5 linked regions of the Canis lupus familiaris genome follow. Each later gene encodes a partner of the first gene's protein in a complex. Links are inferred from orthologs where the notes say so. Each region holds a gene or a part of one and is shown on either strand. Other genes may lie near its edges.

Region 1 (4,651 bases):
ATAAAATATTCACTTAATGCCAAAGGAAGTGATAAAGGAGGATTCACAGAGGCATAAAACATGAAATGTGAATGGGTGAGGGGCGCCTGGGTCGCCCAGTCAGTTGAGCGTCAGACGCTTGGCTTTAGCTCAGGTCATGATCTCAGGGTCGTGAGATGGAGCCTCCCCCTGCATGAGGCTCTGCCCTCGCATGGAATCTGCTTGAAATTCTCTCTCCGTGTCCCCGCCCCTCCCCCTGCTTGTGCTCTCCCTCTTTCTCTGTCTCTCTCTCTGTCAAACAAAATCTTAAGAAAGAAAGAAATCTCCAATCAATAACCCAGTTTTCTACCTAAAGACACTGCAAAAAGAAGAGCAAACAGCCTAAAAAGCAGGAAAAAGAAAGAAAATAATAAAGGTACAAATTAATAAGCAAACAATAGAGAAAGTCAATGAAAAAACTGGTTTCTTCAAAACTGACAAAACTTTAGGTTGACCAAGATAAAAGACACAAATTACTAGAATCAGAATAAAAGAGGACCTTGCCACCAACCTTACAGAAAATAAGCAGTAATCTAAAGGAATACGTCAAACTAGACGAGCGCACAGATTCCTAGACAAAAGTTACAAAACCTGACGCAAGAAGAAAAATCTGAACAGACCAATAACAAGTAAAGATAATGCGTAAGTAGTTAAAAAACTACCCACCGAGGTGGCTTCACCGCTGGAATCTAGCAAACATTTAAAGACAAATTAATGCTGGTTGTTCACAAAACTTTCCTAGAAATGGGAGAGGCCACTGTCCCCGGCTACCGTTACACAGGCTGGGAAACGAGGGATCCGTGTCTCTTACAAACATGGTCACAAAAACCCTCAAAAAAAGTAGCAAATAAAATCCATCAACACGCAAAACGATACAAAGGAATCCTAGACCATGACCTGGGGGATTTGTCCCGGGAATACAAAGTGTATTTTGTGAGAACACCCGATCAGTCGAATGAGAATCAAAACCACACGATCAGTGAAGTAGAAGAGCAGTTTACAAAATGCCAGACTCCCAGGATAAAGGGCAGCGACGGCCCCCGCTCGCCCCCTGCTTGGTGGTGAAAGACGACGCCTGCCCCTCGGATCAGGACGGTGGGTCCGGGGATCACACGCTGTGAGGCCCCCGGGAGAGGAGGTGGGGGCCTGTGGTGTAGACACCCTCCAGCAGCCTTCCCTGCGAGGAAGCTGCAGGCGGGGGCCCGGCTGCCAGGAGCCCAGGACGGGAAGGCCCGTGGGGGCCTGGAGCGTTGGGATGCTGGGTACCCCCACCCCGTCCGCTCCGGACGCCCACCCTACAGGGAAGGCAGGCACGATTCTAGAAGGATCTAGGCCGACGGAGCTGTTCCCCTAACTTCTCAGAGGGGAAGGATCAGCTGAGTTCTTGAAGCAGCCTTGCCGTCGGCCCGGGCCTGGGAGGCCAGGCGGCCATGGAACGTGGTCCTGGCGGGTGTTTGTGTGCAGGGGGCACCCTCCCTGCGTGCACGCCTGGCCTCGTGGGGCAGGATTCGGGGCGTTTCTACTGTGAGGGCTCCTCCAGGGACCTGCTCCTTAGCAAGGGGCCCTGGCGGCGGAGGCCCTGGGGCGTCAGGCTCCAGCCCTGCAGGGCCCGCCCGGGCTGCCACACACCCGCTGCACCCTGCTCGGCATCCCAGCTGCCCTGTCCCCCGTCCTCTGCGGCAGGAAGGCCTGCGGATCGCCCGGCAGGGACTGCGGTGTAGACACAGATCCAGGGGTGCAGGATGGGCCGTCCCTGCACATGGTCCCTGCGCGCTGGCTTCCGCCACCATTGTCTCCGAGTCCCCCCGCCCCCCCTGCCCCCCAGCGCTGCGTCCAGGGTGGGAGCCTCGGCCAGGGTGTGTCCCACCCGGTGCTGGCCTGCCCTCCGGCCCTCCTGCCCCCACCCCGCCGCATCTACTCCCTGCCGCCCCGGCACATCCCAGGGTCCCGGGCCCTGTGCACCCGCCTGGCTCTGGGGGGCCTCCTGTGCCTGCCCCTTACTGCTTCCCCCCCTTTGCAGCAGTTTCCCTCCAGCCTCCTGTTCAAGGCCACGGGGACCCGTTACAATGCTCTCTTTATTCGATGCAAACACAAGCGATCAATTGGCTTATGGGTTTCCAGGTCTGTGCACGTAAAGAAGCAGCAGGGAAAGGGGCAGAAAAGGTTAATCTGAACTTTCCCGGAAGTGACTTAATACTTGAACGTTTGGATTCGTGGGTACCCATGTGTGACGTCGAGCTTCCCACGTACTCGGGCTCCACCAACCGCTGCGGGGCAGACCCTGTCTCGGCACAAGCAAGTGAGGAACGACACCTGCGCTTCCCAGACAGGAGGGGAGGCCAGAGGGGCTGTTTGCAGAACACCTGTGTGCGGAGGGGCGTGGACGCCCTGCTGGGAGCCGCGCTCCTGCCTCGGCACCAACGTGTGACCCGGGGCACAGGAGCCCCGCTGAAGGTGGTTAGAATGCGGTGTCGGCCCTGACAGCCGGGAGACCCGCCCCCCCTGCCCCCGCCCAGTGCTGTAGCCCTGTTTGCTGAGCTCCCATGGCTCAGCGGGGACCCGGGGACAGCATGCCCTGGCCGTCTGGCGGCAGGCGTGTCAGGCCACCTCCCGACCCTGGGTTTCCTTCGCACGGATGACAAACCCATTTTAGGAAAAGGCAGGCTTCTCACAGGATACGGGGCGAAGCTGCGTCTCTAACTTGGTACTTTGGACAAGGACCCACGTGCGTCCAGAGCCATCCTTTGGGTCCCGGCAGCTGCGTTGTTGGGGGGGGGGGGTGCGCGGCCCTGACCACGGGCGGAGCACACACCCTCCTGAGGATCGTGACCGCGTCGCACGGACCGTCAGCGGAGGATGGGGGCCCCGAGGTCAGCCCCGGGAAAGGGGGTCGGCGTCTCCTCGACAAAGCACGTCAAGCTTCCTAATCAGCTACACGGCGCCAGGGACTCGGCCCCGCTCCGCTTCCTGCGCGGCTGCGCCTCACTCGTGCTCGAAGAACTCGTGGCAGGCGGTGGTGACCATAGCCACGAAGGCCACGAACTCCTGGAAGTCGCACTCGCCGTCTCCGTCACTGTCCAGTGTCTCCATGACCTTGTCCACGACCTCCTGCTCCTTGATCTCCTACGAGAGAGGACAAATTGCGCCGCCGCTTACGATGAGCCGAGGCCCGCGGCGCGTCCCTGACCCTCGGCCACCGCAGCGACGTGTCCGCAGCAGAGAGAATGTTCACGGGGCGGCAGAGGGGCCGGGGCCCCAGCGTCTCCCCCACCGGACGCTCCCAGAAAGGCACCGTGGGACATGCGGGGTATGTGCCCCCGCCGCCCGCCGTCGCCGGGCTCACATCCAGGGGGCCGCGGAGGATGGCGTCATGGACAGAAGCACGGACTTCTGCTTCTCCCCGAGCTCCTCACTGCGTGTGGAAGTCCTTCCCGCAGGTTTCGGGGTTTTTTTGTTTTTGTTTTTGTTTTTGTTTTTTTTATGATAGGCACACAGTGAGAGAGAGAGAGAGAGGCAGAGACACAGGCAGAGGGAGAAGCAGGCTCCATGCACCGGGAGCCCGACGTGGGATTCGATCCTGGGTCTCCAGGATCGCGCCCTGGGCCAAAGGCAGGCGCTAAACCGCTGCGCCACCCAGGGATCCCCAGGTTTCGGGTTTTGAAAGTGTTTTCTCTGCAATGACCCCCGGCCGCGCTCACCGTGAACTATTTTATAAACTGGTTCCCACGTGCTAAGCTTTTAAAGCTGTAATTTTAAATCAATGATTTGCTGATAAAATCAATAATTACTAATCATTTTAAAACCAATAATTAATATTTTTAAAAATCAATGATTAACAGTTATTGAAAATTACTTGTTGAGCTTCCAGTGTATGTTGGGCACTTGACAAACACTGTCTCCTTTCATCCCGAGAACAATCCTGTTCACAGAGGAACCAGGGGGTTTGGGTTGTTAGGTCAGGAGGTGGGAGGGATGGGCTGAGGGGCGTGCACCTCGACCCCTGCCTGAGAGGAGCGTCCTGGGTCCCCCAGGAGTCGCCCCCGCTCTGAAGCCTGCAGGTGCTTCCCCTGCCTTGGGGAGGCGGGTCCCAGCGAGGGCGAGTCCGTGTGGGGCTGTGGTGCTGCCTCGCTGTAGGGGGGGTCTGGGGGGACGGAGAGGGGCTGGGGGGCCTGGGAGGACAGGAGAATGGGGAGATGGGGACTGGGGGCACTGGGGGGATGAGGGCACTGGGGGGCCTGGGGATCGGGGGGCGGTTCCCGAGCGTGAGCAGGGCCAGACCCCAGCGCTCCGGCAGCGTCTCCGGAACCAGGTCGTGGTCAGACCTTCACGCACCGGCTCATGGCGTGGCCGTTTCCCGCGTGTGGGGTCCGACGGGTGACCTTCGGGGCGGCCAGGGCAGGCAGGTGCCCTGGGACTGCAGTTCATGGCCTCGAGGGCTCGGGCCTGGGGTGCGGGGGACACGCGGGGTCGCGGCCGGTCTCCCCAAGCCTGAGCGTGGAGCCAGTGGCCCCCTGAGGGCCCCAAGGCCGAGCTGGCGCCACCCCACTGTGCTGGGCCCCCGGAGGCGCCGCTCCCGCCCCCCGGCCCGGGGCCTCACCTCCAGGAAGTGGGCGAGCTCGCTGCCGATGAGCTC
Region 2 (6,130 bases), on another chromosome or scaffold:
ATCATCTCCCCTGGTATTTGGAAAGGGCCAGAAAATTTAGAGACCCACAGACTCATGGCATGGGGAAAGAGACAACTTTTCCCCATAACACTCTCACCAAGTGGTTGTCTGTATTTAGAGTTTATATATCCCTAGTAGAGGAAGCAGCTCTTTTTTTTTTTTTTTTTTTTTTTTAAGGAAGCAGCTCTTACTCTAGAAAGTCTGTCCTTGCTTTGAGCTTTAGGTGACCCACTGGAAACTCACTGTTTTGGCTCTGTCTTCTAAACCTTCCTGGGGTAACTTTACCTAGTACTCACCCACTTGAGAACAAAACAGGAAAAGGAAGCATTTACTATCTGACCTGATCTATTTAAATATTAGCCTATTTGCACTGACCATTTCAAAAGCCAAAACTTCTTCAAACATGACCATTAAAGCAGTACATGTGGTAACCAAATTAAAGCTCTGATTATTTTTTTTACAAAAGAATCTTCCCTAATAAATTAGACAGAATCAGACATTGCCATTTTTGCAAACTCTAATGAAATGATTAATTCAGGCGAAGATCCTGAAAGGATGAAACCATGAAAGGCTGGTGCAAGTCTTTACAAGACACCATCAGACTCACTCACCACTTGCCACCCATTCACTCATCCCTAGACTGTGACCACCTGAGAGGACCAATGACTAATGGGGGCCAAGTTACACTGTGCTTGGGGATGTGATGCCATATGAAGTACACTGCACCTCCTATGAAGTGTGTGTTGTTGTTTTTATTTTTTAAGATTTTATTAGGGCAGCTCAGGTGGCTCAGCGGTTTAGCGCTGCCTTCGGTCTAGGGCGTGATCCTGGAGACCTGGGATTGAGTCCCACATTGGGCTCTCTGCATGGGGCCTGCTTCTGCCTCTGCCTCTGTCTCTGCCTCTCTCTCTTTCTCTCTGTCTCTCATAAATAAATAAAATCTTAAAAAAAAAAAAGATTTTATTGATCCATTTGAGAGAGAGACAGTGAGAGAGAGCACAAGCAGGGAGGAGAAGAAGAAGAAGGCTTCTCGCTGAGCAGGGATTCTGACTCGGGGCTCAATCCCAGGACCCCAGGACCATGACCCAAGCCAAAGGCAGGTGCCTAACTGGCTGAGTCACCCAGGTGCCCCCATGAAGTGTTTTTTAACTCCTTGCTTCTGAAAAGAAGTTGATGCAGAATATAATTAAGACTTCAGAAATATAGGCAATACAGAAACAATTAAAATGATGCCATAAATGATGCCACATTTAACAAAACTCATCAGGTTATACACTTAATATCTACTGTACGCAAATTTTATCCTAGCTTTTAAAGAGACTTAAGGGAGTAACAAGTGAATGAAAGATGTAAATCATGCAGAGACTGTGATTCCAACATGCTAATGGCAAAAAAGATTTTTTGAAAGGTCAATAGGGAAGTGTATCTATTGACTACTACGTGAACACAGTAATTGTTAATTTTGAGAGTTGTTATGAAAGAAAATGTCTTTTTTAGAGTTATGGATCTACAACTAAGATTATGAAAGGTCTAAGATATGTTTTAAAATACTTTAATTAGGGATGCCTGGGTGGCTCAGTGGTTGGACGCCTGCCTTCAGCTCAGGTCGTGATCCCGGGATCCGGATCGAGGCCTACGTCAGGTTCCCTGCAAGGAGTCTGCTTCTTCCTCTGCCTATGTCTCTGCCTCTCTCTCTCAGTCTGTCTCTCTCATGAATAAATAAATAAATCTTAAAAAATAAACAAAAGAAAATACTTTAATTATAGGTATTTATGAGCCAAGTGTCATAGCGTCTGCAACTTCCTTTCAAATGCAACTATAAAAAATGTATATTTATATGTAGAGATAAAGATAGAGAAGTAGAGACTAAGAGAGAAACAAAGATCAAGAAAATGTGGCAGATTGTTAAGATTTGGTGAACCTAGAAGGGAAATGGTTTTCACTATAAGATTCTTTTTAAAAAAAAAAAAATTTACTTATTTATTTATTCATGAGAGACATAGAGAGAGAGGTAGAGACAGAGGCAGAGGGAAAAGCAGACTCCATGCAGGGAGCCCAACGCGGGACTCGATCCCAGGACTCCAGGATCACACTCTGGGCCAAAGGCAGGCACTAAACCACTGAGTCACCCAGGCATCCCTATAAGATTCTTTTTAACTTTGAATGTTTTCCTCAATAAAAAGTTGGGAGAAATACTTCAGTAACATCGAAGAAGAAAGAGAGGGAGAGAGAAAGCAGAAGAAGGAAAGAAGGAAGGAGAGCAGAAAGGAAGGGAAGGGAAGAAAGAAACAGGAAAAAAGAAAAGAAAGAGAAGAAGGGAGAAAGGGAAGAAGGGAGATAAAAATCTCAACAATTCTTTAATCTGGGTGATGGGTATCTGGAGGGTCATTATACTCTTATCATAGTTTTGTATATGTTTAAAATCGTTGCTAATAAAAAGTTAACTTAAAAAAAAAAAAAAGGCACAGCAATGATCTGGCCCTATTCCTCCCCAGTGCAGCAAGGTGGCGGCTCCCACTATCCTGAGTCTGCAGATAAGGAAGCGGCTGAGAGGTGAGAGGCCTTCCCAACCATACACACTGGACTTGGACACAGCTAATCGTTGGATCCCAGAACCCACGCTGTCTGACTTGGAAGCACCCCAAAACATCATCTCTCCAGGGAGAAACTCATGCTAACTCTGCTTTCAGCTTCTATACACACCACAGTAAATTTTCTACCACCATCCTATGCAATGATAAAGGCCAAGTCGTATGGTTCAGACAAATACCTCTTCTCTAGTACCTGCTATCTTTCCAGCAGCATTTCTTCCTGCATCCACTTCCTCTGTCCTAGCAGCCAAACCCACAACCAGATTCAACTCCCTGCTGGCCCTGCTGCTTCCCAACTCACAGCTCTATCTGTAGCTCTTCAACCACAGGCCTCAGTCAGACATTCTGGCTCTATTTTCCCTGGCTGTGTGCCCTTGGGCAAGTGATCTCACGTCTCTGAGCCTTGGTCTTCTTACCTGTAAAGTGGGGCCAATAATAGCACTTGCCTCATTGCATTGTTGTGAAAATCAATTGAGATAATGTAAGGAAAGAACTTAGCATGGTGCCTGGCACACAGTAAGTACTGTGTAAACAGTCCATTTCACAATCTGGCCTCATCTCTCCCTCCTTCCCTTCCTTACATGCATCTACTTACCCACCCACCATCCCTAGTCTCCCCTCTGTCTGGCTGGCTGAAGACTACTACTGCCTGGGCCAGGCCATGGCTCATGCACTGTAGTGATGGTATGACCCTCGGCAGCCCATCATCCCCACTGAGTGCCCCCTACCCCAGACTTACCCCCTGGGAGTGCAGATACTCCACGGTTTTGCTGATGGTGTGCAGGACAAAGCTGGCCTCCCGCTCGGAGAAGAATTTCTGCCGCAAGATCTTGTCTAGCAGCTCCCCACCCCGCATCAGCTCTGTCACCAGATACACGTGTTTGCCATCATCGTACACCTGCCAGAGACCTCATCATCAGGTCCCTCCTCTCCATGCCAGGCTTGAGCCCCCTGGTTACCCGGTCACTAGGCCAGGAAAGAATGACATGAGCCTTGGACATGTGTTCTGCTCTGTGCTTCAGTGGCCCTCACAGGGGCTTCACTTATCTGGGGCCTTGTCCTCCCTAGACAGGAGGATGTTGGCACTGGTCCACCAAGGGGCAGTGAATGCCTGAGAATGCCTGAGCCTGAAGTGGAGGGACTTGGGAAGCAAGGATCTTTTCCTCTCATGAGCAGAGGAAAATTAGAAATCAAAGGAATGGTAGTCCTGAGACAAATCCCAGAGTTGAGTGCCCCAGCCCCATCCCAGTCTCAAGGACCCCACTTACGTCTTTCAGAGTGATGATGTTGGGGTGCTGCCCATACCGCAGAAGAATCTCAATCTCTTCTGAGGGATCCCGCTTGCTCTTGTCGATGACCTGAGGAAAGAGAGTACATGGGCAATATCAGGAGGACAGTCTCCAGAGTCCATCCTTGCCATGGAGCCCACCCTGTAGGCCTTGGGGGACAGTCTCAGCCACATAACTTTCACTCACCCACAGAGCCTAAGGAACCAACCCTCCCCCACCAAAGGGCCAAGACTACATTGGCCTCCCCCCACAGCCCAGCAGCCTTGGCTGAGACACGCTCAAGAGGCTCACCTTGACAGCATACTCCATATTAGTGGCCTTATGTACACAGCGCTTGCACACGGAGTAGGAGCCCACACCAATCGTCTCCTTTACAACGTAGCCATCGCTAAAAACCAGGTTTTTCCCGTGGAGTTGCTGTAGGAGAGAGCAACAGGTGGGGCTGATCCTCTACTCTAGAATGTGGGGGTCATCCCCCAGCATCCAAGGCCTTGGCTCAGTGGAGGTGGCACCAGGCAAGAGCCAGAGGCCTGGGGCAGAATCTTGGTCCCGTAACCTTGAGCAAGAATCTGGCCCTTTGGGCCTCAGTTTTCTACTCTATATGGGCACCTGCAACGGCTCCAGGCTGTGGTTAGACAGGGGTGAGGGGGGCAGGCAACAGAGCCACAACACACTCATCGAGAGATCTGTGGCTCTGAGGAAGCAGGGCAGGCCTGAGGGACGCAGGAGCCCTGAGCTGGGTCCCAACTCTGCCACCTTCTGTGAACTTGTGTGAGTTGCCTCCCCCTTCTGGGGTGTCATAGCCCACCTCATGAGGTGTCTTACAGTTCTGAGCCATTCATAATAGCAAATGCTTCTGTGGTGCCTAGTGTGTGGCCCTATTCACAGTACTTTTCAGCAGGTGACCACATGACCCCTGGTTCAGGCTTGTTGTCCTTGTATCCAGTCTGGTTTAATATTTGTCCTGGGGATGCCTAGGTGGCTCAGTGGTTGAGCATCTGCCTTCAGCTCAGGGTGTGATCCTGGAGTCCCGGGATGGAGTCCCACATGGGGCGCTCCCTGCATGGAGCTTGCTTCTCCCTCTGCCTGTGTCTCTGCCTCTCTCTGTGCTTCTCATGAATAAATAAATAAAATCTTTAAAAAAAAAAAACTTTGTCCTGGACAAAGACCTCCCTATGGTATAATATATTAGTCACCTTAACTTTACACATACAAACCACCTATGGAGAAATGTTCTATCATCACCCCCATTTACAGCTGAGGAAATAGAGCACTGGGAAGGTAACTGTCTCATCCAAAGTTCCTTACCTTGGAAGCTCTGAACCCCGGCAGTAAGCTCATGCCTCTCAATTCTAAATTTCTCACAGGGCTGGCAAAGTGTACTAATGGGGGACAAATGGGAGGAAACATGAGCCTTCTCCCCAGCCCATCCTTGTCAGGGACCTGACAGCCACTCCACAGCATCACAGCAAGGGCACCCCCTTACATGTATTTATCTAGGCTCTACAAGGTCCCTGGCTCTGCTGGGAAATGCATATCCATGTTGTCATCCCTGTTTTACAAACAGAGGAACTGGGGCCCACAGAGGTTGGGAGGTCCAATGGACCACACAGTGACAGTCAGGGGTTGAACTCCGGAGCCTGTATTGTCAGCCGTTCTGCCTTTGTGGCTTCTAGGTAGGAAAGACAACTAAGTGGCAGTCTCCTGCCCCCTCACCTGTACCACTGAGTGCAGTGGTGCCTGTGGGGCCCGAGGCTTGCCGTCATCCTCCATCAGGCCAGTGGCCACGAAGCTGAAGCCACGGAACAGCTGATGGGCACCAGCACTGGGGGGGATGCCTGGGGAGTCTGCAGGGACAGGAGAGGGATGCAACTCTGAGAAGGTGCCCTTGACCCCGAGGCAGCCCAGCAAAAGGAGACCATGGTGCCTCCAGGCCTGCCTCGGCAGCTGGCTGTGGAGAGGGCTTCAGTTAAGCCCATCCGTTCATGTGTATTTAGACCAGCCCAGCCCTGACACATAAGAAACAGAAAAGATCCCACACACACTGGGCGTCTGACCCAGGCCAAGACACCTCATCCCTTTCTGGGGTGCCCCTTTCAGGTCTGCCCCTTCGGGTCCATCTTCTGCAGAACAGCAGGAAGGATGATCCCAACTGCAAATCTACCCCCAGCCCAAAGCCTTCAAGTGCTCCCCTCTGCCCTCAGAAAAAAGCCCAACTCCTCAGCCTGGCAAACTGAGGTCCTTGTGATC
Region 3 (6,130 bases), on another chromosome or scaffold:
GTCAAGTATACATAATTTTAGGTTTAAGTGTACTCCAGAACACTTCAAGTCCAAATTAAAAACAACAAAAAAAGTAGTGAATTCTGAATTAAGTATTTGTGGTTGGCACAACCACCCCACCTATCTAGAGAGCATATATATACCTCAACCATGAGGAGTTACAAGAAAAGCAGATGGCATTCATCATATTGCTTAGGAGTATGTAAATTAAAGCTTTCCCTTAGAACTGATAAAACCCTGAAAGCAGCTAGAAATGATAACTGACAATAGAGTTCTGGAGACTATGTCCATATTAGAGCATTTCTGTCTTATAACACAACAGAATATCCTTGAGGATGAGCCAAATTACCTAAGTATTGAAATTATTTTCTTTAAACTCTGTATTTAGGAGTGTATTTATTTTAGGAATACAACCATCACAAATGTGCACACATTCATATTAGCTCTTGAGTAGTAAACTCTAGTTAACTGGGAAACACGTTTGTTTGGAATCCTTCATTCTTTGATAATACTAGGTAAATGAAGCACTTAAAAAAATTAAGGGGGGGGCGGTGGCATATATAAAATAGAATACAATCTTCAGGCTTTAATATAATACCCTAATAGTACAAAAGTATCTACAAGGTTAAAAACAGAGAAAATGCCTTCCTAAAAAATCATCATTACCATCGACAGGAAGAGAATCTCCTGCATGGTCAAAGGACCAGAAAGCAGCAGGGGGTCTGTTCAGAGCTCATCAGTGCACCAGCATCAGAGGGAAACACCAGGGAAACCCACATTCTGCACAGTTTTTCCTATTTTATTTCAACCTGATCCTATTGTTAAATATTACAAACTAGAAATAACAAAATAAACTCCATTTCACTGTCCCGTAACTAAACAAAAACACTGTGACATATTTAAACATATCTCTCAATCAGCAAAAATAAAAATGAAAACTTCTTGGTTTTTCCTATGTTCCTTAAACATATAAAATAGTAAATGTTATTTCACTTGAGCTTACAGTACATTAAAATAAAGGTACAACAGAATAAAGCAGTTTATCTGGATAATAAAATCTAAATTCATGGCAAAAAAGCTGTGGGGTAAAGATTTCCATTTTGAGGAGGAAGGAGTCACTCATATCCTGGATGAAAAAGCACTTATATACCCAGTCAATTTTTAGTCTAGTCAATAATATGTTGACTCAAGTTAAACTGATCAAACTACCCAGGCGGTGCTGATTTCTAATCAACAGCTAAGGTGACTGCTGAGTAAGGTAGATTCACTCACTAGTCTGTCCTGTGCCTCCATGATACATAAAAAGGCTAGATTCCAAATGAAATGCCAAATTCTTGATTAGTTGTAGTAAGAGCTTAACGGAACCCCCATGGTTATTTTTTTTAAAGTGCTAACAGAGTAAACATTTAAACAATAGTTAAATTGTAAATCTCATTTGCTGATTTCACTTAAGACTAGTGCCACAACCTGTAACAAATTTAATAACAAACATCTATTGTATTCCCAGCTGAAAATTATCTTTCTTAAGGAAGATTTTCCTTTTATTCACATAAATTCCTTTTTTATGTTTTTAGTTTAAAACAGTAATTTCAAACCATGTTTAATCTATGAAAAATCTCAAGGGGAAGTCAGCATGTAATTAATTCAAAATGGTGGACAAATGTCTTACATTTTAGAACACTTTGTTTTTCCTGTGCATATTGCTATAGCTGTTTCTTAAAAAACAAACAAACATGAGCTTATGTAGGCAATTGTTAAGACAAGGCAATAGCCCAACTACAGGAAAATTGAGATTTTTTCCTTGATTTCTTCTTCCTTACCTATTCTTCACCAGTATAATTTTCTATTTGACAAGGAAATAGAAGCATTGAATAGAGGTCTTTGAACAAAAATCTATGCCTGTGACAATTGTGAAATTGGGAAGCTTCTAAGCAAACTGAGCAAAGAAGGCAGCTATTTAAAGAGTTTCTCATAAACACTTTAGGAGACAGTGACAAAGCATCACAAAATTAGAGAAAGCCCATTTAGGGGGTTCTTCTGGAGATTTAGAAAGAGCAACCACAGAAATATTAATGGCAATCAAAATCCTGTCCCAGAAATTTGCATAATATTGAAAAATCAACCTTATAAAATGTGAAATCCATGTTGTATTATAAAATTCTGTAAATTGCAAGCTTTTCTTTTTTTTTTTTTTTTTAACACTTTTGATAAAATAGTTCTTTGGAATCTCAAGAAACCAAGGAAATGCCAAAAATTACTAATGGGATTCCACTGACAGAATAATTAGGGGAGCATAACAAAATGGTTATAAATGAAACTGTTCTATGACTTTAGAGGCTTGACAGTCCCACCCAAGATCACCAGGAAGGTTTTGAACTTTTCACAGCTCAGTACATTCTGCAGCTCTACAGACAAAGGAAGAATGAATCAATTTTTCTCAATACTGATATGTATAAATTTAAGTAGTTTTGATGGATGATCACAAACAGGAAATAATGAAGAAATATGTAAGAATGTTAACTGCAAGAACCTGTATTTTCAACTTTTGGGAAATAGAGTCAGAAGAGGTTAAAAATGTGACCCCCAAAATATACATACCAGGTGGGTAAGTCTACAAATAGCAGCCAAAGAAATATTCGATATTTCAAAAGCTTCTAAGATATATAGTTGTAAGAAAATACTTTGGTATTTCAGGATGTCCAGAAGGCAAATCCAGATCCTTACTGATTTGTACACCTATCTTTTATGTAGGAGACACAGCAGTTCGAGAAGTTTTTGAAGAGACTGGTATAAAATCAGAGTTCAAGTCCCTCCTGAGCATTCGGCAACAGCACGCCAGTCCTGGAGCTTTTGGGAAGTCAGATATGTATATCATCTGTCGCTTAAAGCCATATTCATTCACCATAAATTTTTGCCAGCATGAATGCTTAAGGTGTGAATGGATGGATCTCAATGACCTGATCAAGACTGAAAATACAACTCCTATCACCAGCAGAGTTGCTAGGCTGTTGCTCTATGGGTATAGAGAAGGCTTTGACAAGATTGATTTCACCATGGAAGAACTTCCGGCAGTTTACACAGGCTTGTTCTATAAACTCTATCACAAGAAACTGCCAGACAATTACAGAACTATGACAGGAATGAATTAAATCCATATTTGCACATTTTAAAAAATCTTAAGTAAATTGTACGTGCAGAAAAATGTGTGCCATATTATAAAAAGTAGTGGACATTTGGGGTTAACTAAATATCTGATTTTAATTTTCTCATGAGTATAATTTACATGAAGAAAACTTACTTGAAGAAAATGTGCAAATTTTAAAAGCCTCTTTTCAAATGAAGCAAATGTAAGAAAAAGATTGTAGCTCTAAGTAAGCTTCACTAGATAAAGGCAAATGCAATATAAAAGGTGGAAGTCTATACATTTTCCAGGCATTTTTGTTGCTTTTTCTTTAGTAAGGCAATGATTAAATATTTACTATTAGATAAAAGGTTATCTGACCATTTATCCAAACAGAGCAGATCACTGTACACATTTTTTCTTTTCTTCCATTAACAAATTTCTAAAATATACGTCTTCTTTCATGTGAAATGAGATAAGATGCTGCCATTTAGATCAGCTCTTAGCAGACATTGGAAGAAAAAGTATAGCTTTCTGCCCAGGTCCTGTTTTTGGTCCAAGTTTATACTGCCCAGTTCGTTTCAGTGCCACATACCAACTGGAGTATTTCCTTGACCGGTAAGTATTGTAGTTATTAGATTCCAATCGTTCAAAAAAGAAGCACTCGTCAGTAACACATTTCTGAAAAATAAAGGAAGAATTAATAGTTACTATTATATTTTCATATGAAATACTTAGGATAGTACACTGTCCATTCTGCTCAATCAGCAGTAGTGCTCTTGGCTTGAGCAGGACAGACTAGTTTGCAAGACTCAACAGGCCAAAGTCAGACAGGATCTAACTCTGTAGAGGGATGCAGGAAGGAACACAGCAAGTCAGTGGGAGAGCTTTCAAGCACATCTCTTCAGAGGAAGACTCCAAGGACCAATGTCCAGCCCCCACAATGGACAGGCCAGGTATTAGGCAGCAAGAGCACACCGCTGCTATAGGAACCACACTGCCTCAGACTGGAAACATCCCGTGAATGAACACAGATTTCACAAAGGGGGATACGCCCAGTAACAAAGAGCGCAGTACACTTAGTGGTTTCCGGTTAGGTATTTATGGTGCATCCATAGTCCTCCCAGTCCAGAGGCAGGTTACCGATTAGGGATCATTTTTCTTTTTATCAGGGTTCCATGAAAGTGCTAGAAGAGTAACCCAGAAGTACCTTCCTAAAGAAGAAGGGCTTTGTTGCTACTTTACTCACAGAAACAGAATCAATTCCTTAAACTATAGCAATGCTTTCCTAATGGTTAATGTTTCTAAGGCATAAAAAGAACAGTTTATTATACAGAAAATAGCTAATGTATATAATGCCAAAAAAAAGTATTGGAACATTACATCTGATGAATCATTATCTGTTAGTGTTTTGAGACTACTAAGTAACAAAGACCATACTGACTTCTGGCAGTGTCTTTCTTGTGAGAGAGGAAACTACTCTCCCTTATCATTTAGGTTCAACTCTTTACTGGGGGTGGAGGATAGCTAGCTTTACAAATAATTAGACCTGGAAATACTATTCCAAGTAATGGAGTCTAATAGGCTGCTACGTTATTTCAAGTAAATGTTCAAAAATCAACTTGACAGGTTAGACTGTTGATAGTTTCTGACCCCTGGGGTGTGTGTTGGGTGGGGCGGGAGGGTGTCAACAAATAATTTACTATAAGGGAAGAAAGGAAAACTAATTTACTTTTTATATTACAATTAGGAAGAAAAAATTATAAACTCCTATAGAAAACCATATAAATTTATACATATTTGTATCTTTACATTTAAGTACAACATGCATACATAGATATATGATATCAGCCTATATTTTTGTATTAATGAGTGTACCAGATTCCAGCTTATTTCTACTACTCAAATCTAGGAAACTTCAGGTTTAGGAAAAGACACATTCAAAAGACTTTTTCCAGATTCTTTAGTTCTTAGATAAACAGTGGCACAAACTGAGAAAAACGTAAATCAATAAACAGAACAATGAAAAGAGCTGACATAATAACCAAAATGCAAATGATCTAAATGGGAGTAACAGTCCGTCTCTGTTATCTAAAGTGTGGTATTCGATCTTATAATTTGCTTCTAGGGATAAAAATTTAACTGGATATTTACTTGGCTTTAATGTTTTTGATCACTGTTAACTTTTAAGAATGGCAATACGAATTTATCTGATTTGCCCATTTTTTGCAAGAAATTACTAATAAAGCAACTTAGTCTTCTGATGCAAATAAATGACAGGTAGCATTACAGAGAAGCACACATTGCACAAGGACCCAGCTCTGTGATAAATGTAAAGATTCAAGTGTGATAATGGTGAAACACTTATACCTAGAAAAATGTTGATGGTCCATGGCCAATACTTCCACTTTACCTTTGGTGAAATTTATTATGCTTTTCATTTAACATAAGTCAACCAGTGTTACTTTATTTTGTCATCTTTCAGTACCACTGATAAAAAGTCTTCCTCTTTCCCTATTCCAGGTTTAAGATCAGGAGTAAAAGAAGTAGGTTCAAGAGTGAAAAAAAATCATGGTAATCATAAAGATAATTATAATTGAGCTTCTCCGGCTAATTTCCCAGAGGAAGACCTAAACCACATCATTCTGGACACTGATTTTGGGGTGCTCTGTCAGCCTCCAGGGTGCCCTCCTTGCTAAGTTGGCACTCCCTACAATGACAGACCTATTGGGATATATATTAAGTCAACAATATCTGCCTTCTCAGCTAGCTCCTACTATTTCAGAGAAAAGTAATAGTACCAGTGATTAAGTGGATAATACATCATGAATCCACTTTTTTTTTTTAATAGAAGTTACTTGTACCTTTACAAAAACAAAGGGGAGGGAAGAAAAACTTGCACCTGTGAATGTTCAGATATGTAAATTTACTAAACTATTACACACTTGAAAACAAACTACATTTTTCAAACTACATTGATGGGGGTATGTCAAAGAGTATAGGAGTCAA
Region 4 (6,739 bases), on another chromosome or scaffold:
TGACTAGTGCTCAGAAGGGAAGTTAGGACTGAGCTATGTATTTGAGAAATGTTCATAAAAATGAAGCTATGGAAGTGGATCACTCTTATCATCAGAGAAAGGTAGGAGGGGTTATAGGGAAAAAAAACCAAAAAGATCCTTTCCAACTAATAACTGTCTTCCTTCTGGAGCTCGGGAGTGACTTTCCTCTGTTAGGAGGGGCGTGAAACGTATTAATTCTCCTGCTTTATACTGTAATTTCACATAATTTCAAATTCACAAAATTGCTTTACTCTACAATGCAACTAACCCCAGGAATGGAAAACATGAACTGTTTTTGGCCTAGAATTTCTAAACAATGTAAAAAAAAGTATCTCTGGGACGTGCTACCACAAATGAGTAACTTTAAAGAACATCACTGTGCTTCTTCAGATAATTTTATTTCCTATTAATCTAGTGGCCAAAGGTGAAAAGGTTATTAAATTTCATAGTGGTATCCTCACAAAGCAATTGTACATGATTTTAAAAAACAAAGATGTTATTCTAGATGAATCTTTATAAAATGCTTCCTACCTTAGTTTGCATATATGAAACTATACCAGTAGCATAAAATTTTAAAATGTGTAAATAATAAACTTTGTCCTAAAATAAACAAATTCAGTTTATAATGCAACACTATTAATGTTAGATATTTACAATTTTTAGTAAAAACAAAAAGAACTACTGTTTTCTCCTTTTCCAAAAGAAGTTGTCAACAAATTGAAAACAAAGATAAAGCCAGAAAAGATCCTATCATTCATTGTCAAGGGAGCGTAATTGTCACAACAGTACCAACTCTGGATTCAGACAGACAGGTATAAATATCCCCTCTGCCTGGACACCTGGGGAGCTCAGTGGCTGAGCGTCTGCCTTTGGCTCAGTACCTGATCCTGGAGTCCTGGAATCGAGTCCCACATAGGGCTCCCTGCATCGATGGAGCCTGCTTCTCTCTCTGCCTCTGTGTCTCTCATGAATAAATAAATAAAATCTTTAAAATATATGTATATATATTCCCTCTGCCACTTCTTACCTAGGCATCCTTGGGTGAATCACTTAAAAGCTACTGAAACCTTATTTTATGTACCTGTGAAATGGTATAATAAAACCTACCTCAAACTTACAACATATTAACAAATGTATGTACCGGTCTGGGCCACCCAATGTACGGGTATTATGTAAATTAACAGATTCCCTTCTTCAGATCTTCAATCAATAATGGAAATTCCAACAGCTTAATAGTATTAAAAGTTTATTTTTGAAAATTACAAATAAGGTGGCAGAAAAAGTAACACGATTTAAATATTAGTTTTAAAATACCAAAAATAAATACATAAAAATAAAATACCACCTTTTAAAATTTTATTTGATTCTATACCCAACCTACTCACAAAAGATTAAAAGAACATTTAAATAACTAAAGTGGCAAGTGTGTTAGCATTTCATTTCACCAGTTATTTGAATGTAACCCAGAAGTTTGGTCTTCTTAAATCACTAAATATAGCAATGAACTATATATGAAAATATCAACAAAATAGTCTTAGGAAACAACAAAAACACCAAATTCCTTCAAATTTTTTTTCTTTTTTTAAAATTTTATTTATTCATAAGAGACAGAGACAGAGAGGAAGAGACATAGAGGGAGAAGCAGGCTTCCTGCGGGGAGCCCGAGATGGATGGGACTCCATCCCCGGACCCCGGGGTCATGCCCTGGGCCTAAGGCAGATGCTCAACCGCTGAGCCACCCAGGCGCCCCAAATTTGAATTTTCATTCATTTAGTCTTAAACCACCAAGTTGGGAAAGCTTGGAGGATTAAGACACCCTCCTCCCTCCTCTTTAGGGAGTTTAGTGCCCTGAGAATGCCAGATAATGAGGAACCTCGTCAATTCATTTGGAGAAAACTTTGCCATTTTTAGGCCTTTACAACACACGGCAGGACTCTATTAACTGCCGCACTGAATTCTCTCTCCTCAGCCAGATTCTAGCCACTTAAACTACTAACCACTACTTAAGGACAGCAGAATGAGACCATGACAATCCCTTTAAAGACCTTTAGCACTAACTTTAAACGTGTGTGCTCGGATCCTGAACATTTTCTGTGGTGAACTCATGGTTATTTAACCTATTATAGCACAAGTGCACACTTCAGAGCAACTTTTGCATATGCAAGGGATCTGCCTGCCAGGTCCGTGAATTAGGGAGAACCTTGCAGCTCTCCCCATCTTGTCCTTTTATGATCACTTGCACCAAAGGGCTCAGAGGGAAGAAAAGCAAAGCAAAGCAAAGCAAAGGAAAGGGGAAGGGGAGGAAAGGGGAAGGGAAGAGGAAGGGGAAGGGAGGGGAAGGGAAGGGAAGGGTAAAGGAAAGAAGGAAAAGACAGGAAAGGAAGATTTCCAAAATCGAAGATGAGGCCCACTAATGCACATTTACATCGGGAAGGCGACAGGACATTACATTTTGGTGCTGGTTTACATCCCAGGCTATTAAAAAAACAAAACAAAACAAAACAAAAAAAACATGGAGCAGAGCTGTAACTGAAAATATCCTTAGGCTTTACATTAGGATTTCTTAAACACCCTGAAGTGTGTTTCATCCGCGGCTGTACCGCTTTGGAACTTAAAAAATAAATAAATAAATAAATAAAAATAAATAAATAAATAAAGGTGAACACTGTGAAATTAAGAGTGGACGCTTGGAAAACTGTAACTATCTCAATCCACAGATTAGGTCCCGTCAACGTTTCTGAGTTTGAGAAACGTCAAAGTTCTTCCGGGAAAATGCGGAAAATCAATACGCCCCCCCCCCCCGTTTTCCCCCCTTCCCCCCCTTCCCCCTCTTCCCTGGGGAATGGGCCCTCCTCACAGGGAAAGGGGGGGGGCGACCTCAGAGACCCAGTTTTAGGATCAGATTCCTTTTTGTTCGAAATCGCTTGAGACTCTGGGGCCGTTCGCGAGGTTTCGAAGCTGGCGCGGCCGCCACCACAGCGGCGCCGGGGCGGCCGGGCCGGGGCGGGCGGCAGACGGCGACGCGGAGCGGGGCGGGCGGGGGTCGCGGGGAGCGACTGGGCCGCCTCGCAGCCAACCGCGGAGCCGCACGGCTACGGCGACGGCCGGAAAAGAGAAACGGGAGACGGCGGGGGGGGGAGGGGGGGAGGGAGAAGAGAGACTTCCACTGGGAAAGGAGAAAAAAAAAAAAAAAAAGCGAAAAAAAAAAAAAAAAAGCGTCGAGAACCAGAAAAGGAAGCGTTTTGGCTTCTGGGAGGAGGGAGGAGGGAGGAGGCGAGGGTCGGCCTCCCAGGCGCCTGCCCCCTCAGCCCTCGGCCCTCGGCTCTCAGCCCGGCGGCAGCCGCCAGCCCAGGCCCCGCGCCCAGGCCGCGACCCGGCGCCCCCGCGCCCCCGCCGCCCCCGCCGCCGCCGCCGCCGCCGCCTGTTTCCAGAGCACACACCCTACAAGGCGCGGCGAGGCGCGGCGCGGCGAGGCAGGCCCGGCGCAGACCTGCCCCCGCGCGCGGCCTCCGTGACTGACAGCGGCAGGCGCTGAGGCGCCGCGGCGACCGGCGGGCAGGAAGGGCGGCCGAGGGCACACGCCGGGGCCCCTCCGCGGCCGCCGGCCTCCGCCGCCCGCGCGGCTCCTACCTTCTCCTCATCGGACAGCTGCTCCTCCAGATCCGCCATTTTCCTCCCGGCGACAGACCGCGGCGGCGGCGGCGGCGGCGGCCACCTGACTTCCCCCTCGCGCCGTGCGGTCCTCCGCGCCCCGCGCGCCCCCGCCGAGGGAGAGGCCCGCCGCCCAGCCCGCCGCGCACGCGCCCCGGAAGCCCCGCCTCCTCCTCCTCCTCCTCCTCCTCCCCCCTCTCCCCGCCGGCGCGGCTGTGCGCATGCGCGGGAAGCCGGCCGGCGCCGGGGGGCGGGGCCGAGCGCCGGGGGGCGGGGCCTGCCGCCGCGGGTGAGCAGCTGGGCCCGCGTCTGCGGCGGGTACATCCTGAGCCCATCCTGAGCCCATGCTGAGCCCATCCATCCTGAGCCCTCCATCGTGTTCCCGTCAAGCCCTCGGCTCTGCCAGCCACCCGGGGAAACAGCGGACGAATAGAAGCTTTGCAAGACCATCTGTTTTCTTCAAATCACTAGAAAAATATTCCGTCTTTATTAAAATATGCACGCACAGCCCAGCCCACACTCGGGACCTTGCTCTCGGTACAGTCAGTCGTGCATTCACTTAAAGAAATGTTAACTGGTCCTTTACCGTGTGCCGGGTTGGTCCCTGCAAATACACAAGGAGGAGAGAAAACCAGAGATCTCTGCTCTCCAGAGGCTCCCTGTCTACTCTGGAAACAAGCACTGAGCAGTTGGGGAGGGCGCTGTGCTATGGTGGGGGAAGACAAAGTTGTGTTAGAAGACGTGGTTCCTACTCTTCTGAACTTCATGGCGAGGTTGAAATCAGAGAGCCCTGTAAAATTTGAATTTCAGATGAACAGTGAATATCGTTTATGCATAAGTACCTCCCATGAAGCATTTGGGATGCACTGAGACGGTGTTGGTGGTTTTCAAATTGTATGGGAATCCTTTACTTTGATTTGCAAAATCTGAGAAGCTTACTCGTGACATTTCAAGTTCAGCAAAAGAGTGAAAATGTAGTAAAAACTGTGTATGTGAATTAGCTGGGGATCTTGTTAAAATGCAGTTACTGATTCTAGGAGGTCTGCGATGGGGCTGGAGAATCTGCCTTTATAACAAGCTCTCTCACACTTTTTAGCAAGGCCTGTAGAATTCAGATAGGACTTAAGACTTTATAATCGTTATGCTGTACATCTAAAACTAAATCAATGTTGTAGGTCAACTATGTCTCAATTTTAAAAATATTTTTAAAGACTTCATTCAGTCAAGCGCATGAATTCTATAATTTCTTTTAACTGTATCAAGAAGATGGTATTGGGAGATTTCTGAAAGGATTATCAGAAATGATACATAACTGCTGGTTGTGTCACTGTGAAGAGACGCATATAAAGTATCACCAAGATTATGAAGATAGTGTGACTCAAATTATTGCAAAGCATTACCAAATGTGGGTGAGGTTTCTAGAGGAAAAGAGCAGCCTGTTAGTCAAGCAACAGCATCTACTGAGAAACCCAGTGTGTACACATTAATATTAGGTGTTGCTAAGTAAACAGAAACAAACAAAAAACAGAAGAAAGGGGGAAAAAAAACCCAGAAGTAGAGTTGATGCAGCAAGTGGTGATGACTAAAACTGATAGTAATCAGTTGGAGAGAGTAATCACCTTCATTAGGTTGTATATGGAGGAGAGTGCCTAGACTTTAGAGAGGAAGAAAGATCTCAAAGTGCAACAACTTAGGATACAGAGTTAGAAGCCTGGATTATTCTTTTTTTTTTTTCAAGAGGCCTGGATTCTAATAGCAATTTAGTCGCTTGAGTGCAAACTTGAACAAATATTCAGCCTCGTTTTTTTCTCCTGGAAAATGGGTATAGTAATGCTGATAGATACCTTACTTCATGAGGTTGTAGTGAGAAATTGATGAAGCAATGAATGAATGACCTGTCAACTATAGAAAAATGAACATATTATTTATTTACATCCGATGAGGTCCCTGACCAAACCGTGTGGTTTATTCTCTATCATACCTTCTCTGCACCATTATCCTCAACAACACACCTGCTTTTTCCTTCACGTGTCAGCAAGCATCCCCTTCCTGTTCTCTCCCAGAATGGACTACAAGGTTTTCAATAGTATGGTTTCTGTTTGCTTTCCATCCACAAGAAACAATGATTTGCATACTCTGAACACTCAGTAAATTACTTAATAGCAGTGTTTTCTAGATTTATAGTGACTTGTGTGAAGGTACTTTCACATGTGTCATTTACATGCAGCAAGATTGATCTTGCTGGGCATGTTTCTAATGTCGTGTTACTGTTCAAAAGTTGTTGACAGCTACTCATTTCCTACTGAGTGAAGGGATTTATTGGTTTGTTTTTAGAAAGATTTTATGTATGTATTTGGGAGAGAAAAAATGCACAAGCAGGGGGAGCAGGAGAGGGAGAAGCAGGCTCCCCGCTCAGCAGGGAGCCAGACAGGTGTTCCCTCCCAGGACCCTGGGAACATGACCTGAGCTGAAGGCAGACCCTTAACCAACTGAGCCACCCAGGTGCCCCAAAATATACTAGTATTCTTGATAACCAGTTATTTTATCATGAAAAGAAAACAAAATATTCCTTCCCGACACAATCCTACCTACTGAGAATTTCTACCCTTTTCTCATTTAATTTCTAAACTTCTTTCTCCTACTTATTAGTGGTATGATCTTTGCCTTCCAAACTAATGGAACCAGAACCTGTTGGGTTTTTATTTTATTTTATTTTATTTATTTTATTTTGTCGTGCTTGTTGTTAACTTCCTTGTATGCTTCTTAATCTATTCTCCTGTGGATGTGCTCTCTGTCCTGAACTAATCTTAAGCTTCTCCAGGTCAGAAGTTACCTAATTTCTTAGAATCACAATCTCAGAATACATCTAGTGCAAAAGCCTCTCATTTTACAGGTAAGTTGAGCCTCAGATAATTTAAAGGACTTGAGGGACACCCAGGTGGCTCAGGGGTTGAGCGTCTGCCTTTGGCTCAGGGTGTAATCCCAGAGTCCAGGGATCGAGTCCCACATCGGGCTCCCTGCGTAGAGCCTGCTTCTCCCTCTGCCTGTGTCTCTGCCTCTCTCTGTG
Region 5 (6,784 bases), on another chromosome or scaffold:
ACCCAGAGCATGGGACACATTCTGGAACCCAAGATTACCAGAAATAACTGGGGGTGAGGAAGCATGAGCTGAGGAAATATAAGAACGAAGGAAGGTGTGATTGGTTTCCTTCATTTCCTTCATATCAACAGGTTGTGCTTCAACTATGTACCTGGTGCTATGCTAGGCACTAAATAAAAAGATACAGTTTCAGTTACCAAAGAATTCAGTTTTGTTATCAGGGCAAATGTGCAAAAGCAGACAGAAACTCTTGAAATATTTTAATATTTCAGCTGCCTGTGTCTCTGCCTCTCTGTGTCTCTCATGAATAAATAAAAAAATCTTAAAAAAAAGTTCAATAAACTTTGTTGAGTTACTTTGATACAATTCTTTATCTAGTTTACAAGAAAACGGAGGCCCACACAGGTTAACACCACCACTGTGAATTTTCCAAAATCCACTGGTGCTAAAAGCCCAGCAGAGAGGCCAAATCTCCTGACACTCAGAATCATTATTTCTCACTACAACACAATATTTCATTTCTAATTCTCTGAAGGGACAACTCTATTCTGTTTTTTTCGCCCATGGTTACATGGGAAAAACAGTAAAGTGCAAAGTACAAGGCTTCTGATTCAGACAAACCTGAGTCTGAATTTTCTGACAAATTATAATACTTTGCTTAGCATTAAGGCTAATCCTAATAAAATAGATGTTCTGGGAGAAATTATAATAAACCTACACTCTTAACCAAAGATGGGGCATCTGAATTTGTACCTGCTTAGGCTTTATGCTCCCATCTAAGGATTTTTTAACAGATTCTATGAAAACTACTCAGCTAAACCAAATGAAAAAAAGGAAGATAAAAGAATAGCAGTATTAACACTAATTGATCACTTGTCAGAAAATACCTATTGCAAATAAGCTCTAGCGTTTATCCTATGACGGTAATAAATCATCTTATTTGATGATTATTAGTTTATTAACTAAGGAGGTAATATACATTTTAAAAATCCAGCTTAAATGTGTATTTTTTCATGAGCTCTGAGAGAGCCCTCAAATTTCTGTATCTATTCACATTTTCCACATCTCTCCTAAATAATTTTGATAAACCTCTTTCTCAAAAAAGTGCCTTAGAGATGATATAATTGTCTAAGCTTAAAGCATACAGACTCATTTCTCAGTTATGGTATTTTTGAGGTGGTTCACAAATATTCTACTAGTTAAGCTGAAGGGAAAAATATGCTAATTGCACTTTTTTTTCCGGCCTTAAATTCTTTCTGCAATTGTTTTAAAAATGCTGAATCATGAAATAAAGGAAACAGACAGTGCAAGGACCCCAAGCAAGTAGTTTGTCTCATACTTCAAGTTTCCTAATTACAGTATCTTGTCATTTTGGTCTTGTTAAGCATTTGGAACCAAGTAACTGAAGACTCTAAGTGAATAGAAGAATACACTCATTGTTATTCTCAGAAACTAAACTCAAGAATAAAACTAAAAGCATTTATTTTGCAAGTTATTTTATACTTTCAGCTTCCTGTTTTATTTAGGCAGCTCATCATGACCATTTCAGGTAACAATGTAGAAGTTAAAAAACCCAACTTCCTCTTTGTAAAGTGATAAAAACCCCAAGCAGTTACTTAAGAGAATGGTTGATCTTACCAGCTTTTATAGAAATAATTGCAAGGAAATCAAAGACTATCGACACCAAATTTAACTCTGGGTTCACTGTTTTTAGGAGATGCAACAAAGATAAAAAGCAATATTAAAATATATTCAGCATCATGACATAAATGCCTTAAAAACTCGAAATCTAATGCAATTAAGATCTTAAAAAGGATAAAATGGAAACTTCAGAGTTCCTTCAAGGAGGAATCAATACAAATTATGTCTGAAAATATCCCTGATTTTAACATTTTTTGGGGGGGGATCTCTGGGTGGCTCAGCGGTTTAGCACCTGCCTTCGGCCCAGGGCGGTGATCCTGGAGACCGAGGATGGAGTCCCACATCAGGCTCCCTGCATGGAGCCTGCTTCTCCCTCTGCCTGTGTCTCTGCCTCTCTCTCTCTCTCTCTCTCTCTCTGTGTATCTCTCTCATGAATAAATAAATAAAATCTTAAAAAATAAGCAAAATTTTTCTGTAATTGTACTTTCATTGTGAAAAGTTTATAGGAAAAGAATCTTTTTTTTTTTAAAGATTTTTAAAAATATTTTTTAACACGTTTGCTGTATCATTATTAAAATTAAGCAACAAAAGTATGCTAAGAGATTACAAATCTGGTCACAAATCTGCTGTTATAAAATCAAGACTATTAATGTTGTTGAACATTGTCATGTCTAAAGACATCTCAATTTGCACTTGAAATACATTTTCTCAAGTTTAATTAAAAAGGCATTCTAATTTTGTCATCTAGTTTTGTCAATGACAAAAACCCAACAATATTGGTAAATGTAGTATTTAGTGAAATTTTAACAATATTTTCCCTTAAAACAAGTGAACCATCAGTTCAGCTAACAAATGTAGGGTTATTGTGATTTTTACTATAATTTAATTTCACCGGCATCATAACTATTTGCCTTAGACTAGACATTTTATTGCAGATTCTGTTCGGCATAAATTCATATATGACACCCTTTTCTCCCCTAAGTTTTACACACAAAAATTTTCAAGAACGAGAAAATTTAACGCCAAAGTATTATTCAATGGCTTGTGTTTAGCACATTCTTCAGGGTTTCAAAATGACATGGCATACATAGGTATGACATATCAAACTACTCTGTACAGAATACTCTTGGGTCATTAACATTCCCTTGTGTCATCTCTTCTCTTGTATTAAAAAAGAAAGAGCCCAGATGCATTTATAGAGCACACAAGACTGCACCTTTTGTAACAGCCACTGTGGGAAATAAATAAAAGACATAACTCTTGTCCTATAGCGAGTCATCTAGTGAAATCATTCTAATTTCTGCAGGCCCTAAAATCAAGTATTTACTGAAAAGCCTGACAAAGCATTAAGAAAGCTGTACAGTTGTCAGCAAAAAGTCATTCCACCTAACGCAGAGCATGCGCTTGTACTTAAAACATTTTTAAAGAAGTAAATACGCAAATTACACACTTACAAATTTAACTATAATCAATGACACCACAGTGGAGCATCAAAGACGATGCTTTTGTCCAGACCGAATCTGTTAACCATGAAGTTTATGTGCTATATAAAACCTTTATGGAGTTTAAAAAAAAAAAAAAAATCCGCTGGCTATTCTTGACTTGTGAACAAGAAAAACTATTTTTCAAAAATTACCCTTAATAGTATGTAAGACGCAAGGGATGGAGAGTCATGGCTTGTTGTGTACATACGTGCAATCAATCAAGGGAGGGTCTATAGGTAAGAGTGGTGTTCAAATCCTGAGGTAAATATCCTAAGGCTTGCACATTTATTACTGAGAATTAGTTCAGCCAATAATGAGAAAAGTGGACGGGCGGGCAACACACGGGGACCTCTCCCTGTCGAGGAGTCGTGACAGCAAGATCACTTCCTGAGGAAGGAGGAGCAAAAGGGAAGTTAAGAGGCCACCCTGACCAGGAAGTGACTCGCCCTAAACTAGCCTCAATCATATCTAAAAATGGGGGGCTGGGGCGAGCCCCGACAGTTAAAGGCGGTAAAATACCTGCTTCCTGATCCGAGACATCACCATCCACCCCGCTCTTAATCACAGAAAAAGAGTCCACAGCCACGACTCAATAAAGGAAAGTCTTTCCTCTTCCGGGAAGGTCACTGGGTTGTCACTCGGGCCCAGAGGGAGAGAAAAGAGTTGAGGAATGGGGAACTGGGGCCACTGTGAGGCAGAGGAATGCCCCTAGAGACGGAAGTGTCCCAGCTGCAGCGGGTATGCCGCCAGCACAGCCCAGCAAGGTTCTTCCACCTGGGGACACTGCCAGGGTTTCCACCGCAGCCAGGTCAGGCCCCTGTTCCCTGTCGCGGGAGGACGCAAAAGAGAGAGGCGGACCCCTTACCTTCTCCTCATCCGACACCCGATCCTCGAAGTCGGCCATCTTGGGCTGCTCTGGCCCAGCCCGGCCCCGGCGCGAGGCAGGCCGGGAAGGAAGCTGAGTGATGGAATCACCGCGGGGGCCGTCGGAAGGACCCGCCCGGAAATGCCGGCCCAGAGGGCGCCATGTCAGTTACTGGCGGGGGTGCGGGTTCCGAGCGCCGGCCCTCGGGGAGTCCGTAGCTCGGCCTCAAGGCTGGTCCTTAAAGGATTTTAAGTCTAACAGCTTTCTCATTGAGTTGCATTCATGTCCCCATTCATCCAGGAGGCGCTGGGAGCGTGTTTCGACTACTGACGCCCGAGCTCCTTCCGACAAAATAGCGATGGCTACTATAGGTTTTCCCAGTACCCGTGATCTCCGTGGCAGCCGAGTCCAAAGGGTTACGTGCTGCTCGGGCCCTGAACCGGCCGGTGGCTATTCCAACCCCATAAACAGGGTTAAAGGTGACCCTCAGCCGTATGGAAGCAAAAACGTTTCAGCAGTCCGAGGTCACATCTCAGTCCAGTTCCTCCAGAATCGGCGCCGCTAGCCTCCCCTTCCCGCCCTCCGAAGGAAAGGTAGACTGGGACGCTCCTCCACCTTCCAAATGGCTTTGGTCCGCGTTCCTCGGACCTGAGCTTTCACAGAGGCCACCTTCAGGTCCGCCACTATCCCAGGATTCCCGACTCCCGGTTTCCTGCCCTTCTCCCCTCCCAGCTCCCGGAGCGTGCGGGAGCGGCAAGATGGCGGACGGCGGCGGCTTGGGTGAGGCAGCGAGCGCTGCGGCCGCTCCTCCCGCACCTACTCCCGGCCCGAGCCCGTCGCTGGGCTGGAGGGAGCGACTGCGGGCCGGGCTGGCGGGGACTGGGCCCTCGCTGTGGTTCGTGGCGGGGCTCGGACTGCTTTACGCTCTGAGGGTTCCGCTGAGGCTGTGTGAGAACTTGGCTGCGGGTGAGAGGCCCAGACCTCCCTGGGGACGGGGGCGGGGGGGGGAGGGGAGGGGGGAGGGGGGCTAGGAGAGTGGCTGGGGGCAAAGGGCAAAGGGCGGAGATTGTCCGCAGTCCCCGCAGGCCTTCGGAGAAGGAGTCGGCGGTGCGGGGTCCAGGGCGCTCTTCTCCTGGGCCGCAGGTCCGCAGCTGATTGTCAAACCTGAGCCTCGGCTATGGGCTCCTCCCTTGAGCTCTTAAGATCCGCCCTCCCGGTTCTGTCCTCGTCGACCCGCGCGCGGAAGAGCCACCTGACAAGCTGTAGGATTCAGGTAGCGCAACAGATGAGAGCGTTTTCCTATCGGCTGCAGAATTATATACACCCCCAGCACTGGTAGAATCCCTTGAAAATCATTCTTCTGAGTCTCTCGCCGATGAAGAGTTCCCACACCTAGACAACAAAGATGAGGGCTTATGTATTCAAAGGCCAAAAAGGAAAGAAAAAAAAAAAAATGCCGTGAACTTAGCCAGCCATTGTCTCATCTTGAGATAGTTCTGTCAAGAAATGGTTTTCGTGGTATTTTGGCCTGTTCTTTGCTGTAGGCTTTATCCGGAGTAATAAAACGGCACAGGAAGTGAAGGGAAAGAGAGCCACCAACAGTGATGGGTTCTCCTTTCAACGTTTATAGAGAGCTTGCTTTGTAGTCTGAGCTGAACATACGAGGACGTGTAAGAAGTGATGCTGATTCCCTGGATTCTGCAAATACTGCCCCTTACCTGTAGCCAGGGCAAAGCGGATGGGAGCCCAGGGCCTCTTACCATGTCTTGATAATATTTCCACTCAAGCTCCGAACAAGATGAAAGTACTTGTGCTGTGTGATGGCTGTGACTGTCCCTACCTGTGGTTTAGTTTTCTGTCGCAAGAAAAGGCACATGTTCCCTTACCTATTTGACAGGATGACATGAAATACTGTAAAATAATGTTCTGAAATATTTTGGACTTTTTAGAACATAGGTTATGTATATCAGCTCAGATATAAGTAACATATCAAAACAAACTAAATATATTGGCTGAAAGAGCTGATTTGGTGTCTCTGTAATGTTAATGAAGTGCTCACTAGTCATATGCCCAGCAAAAACTATTCGTTGACTTTATCATTTATTTTTCCATGTGTTAACTAGATACACCATTTAGATGAAAGTAGTTAACTATGATTGATTTTTATTTATTTCCGAAACCTGTTGTGTTTATGGGACAGTTATTTGAAGTGGAAAATCTGGTCCAGGCTTTCAGTGAGTCAGATGCAAAGATCTCTCTCGATCTGTTGCTCTTCTCTTTGGTTTATTTTGCCTCTCTAGCTGACATACCAAATACATGCACATGCTAATTCCTTCTAATTTAAAACGCTGGTTTGTATCCCACCAAAATAATTAGGGAGTGATTTTTAACCTCCTTTGTAGCAGAATGTTTATTTAGTTTATCCTTAGGGATATGCAAAACTTCTTACCAAAGTTACGGTTTATAATCTCTTAATTCTCAAAAGTAATCTAAATTATCTCATCTTTATTTGCTTATTTAACAAATTATCAGTTTAAAATGCTACCCTTACAGGTTCGGAGGTAATTTTTAAGATATGATGGAACGGGAATTTAAAGTGCCTTTTTAAAAGTTACAACTTTCTCAAATGAATCTCATACTGGATATTAACACTATTTATATCCCTCCGCTCATAAAGACTCCTGCATATTTGTAACTTGAGTATTTTGAATTTGCATTTTTTTAAACTTTGATTTTTTTTTTTTTTTTCCCTTTTGCAGTGACAGTATTTTTAAATTCATTGACACCCAAATTC

What was found.
Region 2: the proteins of S100B (region 1) and RPS6KA1 are in contact, whole or in part, in a crystal structure (PDB 5CSJ), measured with the Homo sapiens proteins. The link is inferred for Canis lupus familiaris from reciprocal best matches to the Homo sapiens genes S100B and RPS6KA1. Residues at the interface, in NP_006263.1 of Homo sapiens: Ser42, His43, Phe44, Leu45, Glu46, Ile48, Val53, Val57, Ala84; in NP_002944.2 of Homo sapiens: Ala697, Met698, Ala699, Ala700, Thr701, Ser703.
Region 3: the proteins of S100B (region 1) and FGF2 are in contact, whole or in part, in an NMR structure (PDB 2M49), measured with the Homo sapiens proteins. The link is inferred for Canis lupus familiaris from reciprocal best matches to the Homo sapiens genes S100B and FGF2. Residues at the interface, in NP_006263.1 of Homo sapiens: Glu47, Ile48, Lys49, Glu50, Gln51, Glu52, Asp55, Lys56, Cys85, Phe88, Phe89, Glu90, His91, Glu92; in NP_001997.5 of Homo sapiens: Arg164, Tyr166, Cys167, Lys168, Asn169, Gly170, Gly171, Phe173, Arg186, Lys188, Asn243, Asn244, Tyr245, Arg262, Lys267, Gly275, Gln276, Lys277, Ala278, Leu282, Met284.
Region 4: the proteins of S100B (region 1) and CAPZA2 are in contact, whole or in part, in a crystal structure (PDB 3RM1), measured with the Bos taurus proteins. The link is inferred for Canis lupus familiaris from reciprocal best matches to the Homo sapiens genes S100B and CAPZA2. Residues at the interface, in NP_001029727.1 of Bos taurus: Ile37, His43, Phe44, Leu45, Glu46, Ile48, Lys56, Val57, Thr60, Phe77, Met80, Ile81, Ala84, Cys85, Phe88; in NP_001013016.1 of Bos taurus: Thr267, Lys268, Ile269, Trp271, Ile274, Leu275.
Region 5: the proteins of S100B (region 1) and CAPZA1 are in contact, whole or in part, in an NMR structure (PDB 1MQ1), measured with the Homo sapiens proteins. The link is inferred for Canis lupus familiaris from reciprocal best matches to the Homo sapiens genes S100B and CAPZA1. Residues at the interface, in NP_006263.1 of Homo sapiens: Glu46, Glu47, Lys49, Val53, Lys56, Val57, Thr60, Phe77, Met80, Val81, Ala84, Cys85, Glu87; in NP_006126.1 of Homo sapiens: Thr265, Arg266, Ile269, Asp270, Trp271, Asn272, Lys273, Ile274, Leu275.

What each region holds. Positions count from the first base shown.
Region 1 is NC_049252.1:39,765,987-39,770,637, forward strand, and holds the end of S100B (protein S100-B), read right to left. Parts: coding exon 4,616-4,651; intron 3,142-4,615; coding exon 3,001-3,141; 3' UTR 2,055-3,000; downstream 1-2,054. UniProt on the Homo sapiens protein: Small zinc- and- and calcium-binding protein that is highly expressed in astrocytes and constitutes one of the most abundant soluble proteins in brain.
Region 2 is NC_049223.1:72,902,599-72,908,728, forward strand, and holds part of RPS6KA1 (ribosomal protein S6 kinase alpha-1), read right to left. Parts: intron 5,728-6,130; coding exon 5,597-5,727; intron 4,298-5,596; coding exon 4,172-4,297; intron 3,950-4,171; coding exon 3,860-3,949; intron 3,490-3,859; coding exon 3,331-3,489; intron 1-3,330. UniProt on the Homo sapiens protein: Serine/threonine-protein kinase that acts downstream of ERK (MAPK1/ERK2 and MAPK3/ERK1) signaling and mediates mitogenic and stress-induced activation of the transcription factors CREB1, ETV1/ER81 and NR4A1/NUR77, regulates translation through RPS6 and EIF4B phosphorylation, and mediates cellular proliferation, survival, and differentiation by modulating mTOR signaling and repressing pro-apoptotic function of BAD and DAPK1.
Region 3 is NC_049240.1:18,219,203-18,225,332, forward strand, and holds part of FGF2 (fibroblast growth factor 2), read right to left. Parts: intron 4,565-6,130; exon of another isoform or gene 3,803-4,564; coding exon 3,617-3,802; 3' UTR 3,150-3,616; coding exon of another isoform or gene 2,752-3,149; 3' UTR 1-2,751. Other genes in the region: NUDT6 (nucleoside diphosphate-linked moiety X motif 6), read left to right, coding at 2,752-3,149. UniProt on the Homo sapiens protein: Acts as a ligand for FGFR1, FGFR2, FGFR3 and FGFR4. Also acts as an integrin ligand which is required for FGF2 signaling. Binds to integrin ITGAV:ITGB3.
Region 4 is NC_049235.1:55,889,936-55,896,674, reverse strand, and holds the start of CAPZA2 (F-actin-capping protein subunit alpha-2), read right to left. Parts: upstream 3,798-6,739; 5' UTR 3,691-3,797; coding exon 3,652-3,690; intron 1-3,651. UniProt on the Homo sapiens protein: F-actin-capping proteins bind in a Ca(2+)-independent manner to the fast growing ends of actin filaments (barbed end) thereby blocking the exchange of subunits at these ends.
Region 5 is NC_049238.1:63,669,723-63,676,506, forward strand, and holds the start of CAPZA1 (F-actin-capping protein subunit alpha-1), read right to left. Parts: upstream 4,485-6,784; 5' UTR 4,030-4,484; coding exon 3,991-4,029; intron 1-3,990. Other genes in the region: ST7L (suppressor of tumorigenicity 7 protein-like), read left to right, coding at 4,485-4,956, 6,750-6,784. UniProt on the Homo sapiens protein: F-actin-capping proteins bind in a Ca(2+)-independent manner to the fast growing ends of actin filaments (barbed end) thereby blocking the exchange of subunits at these ends.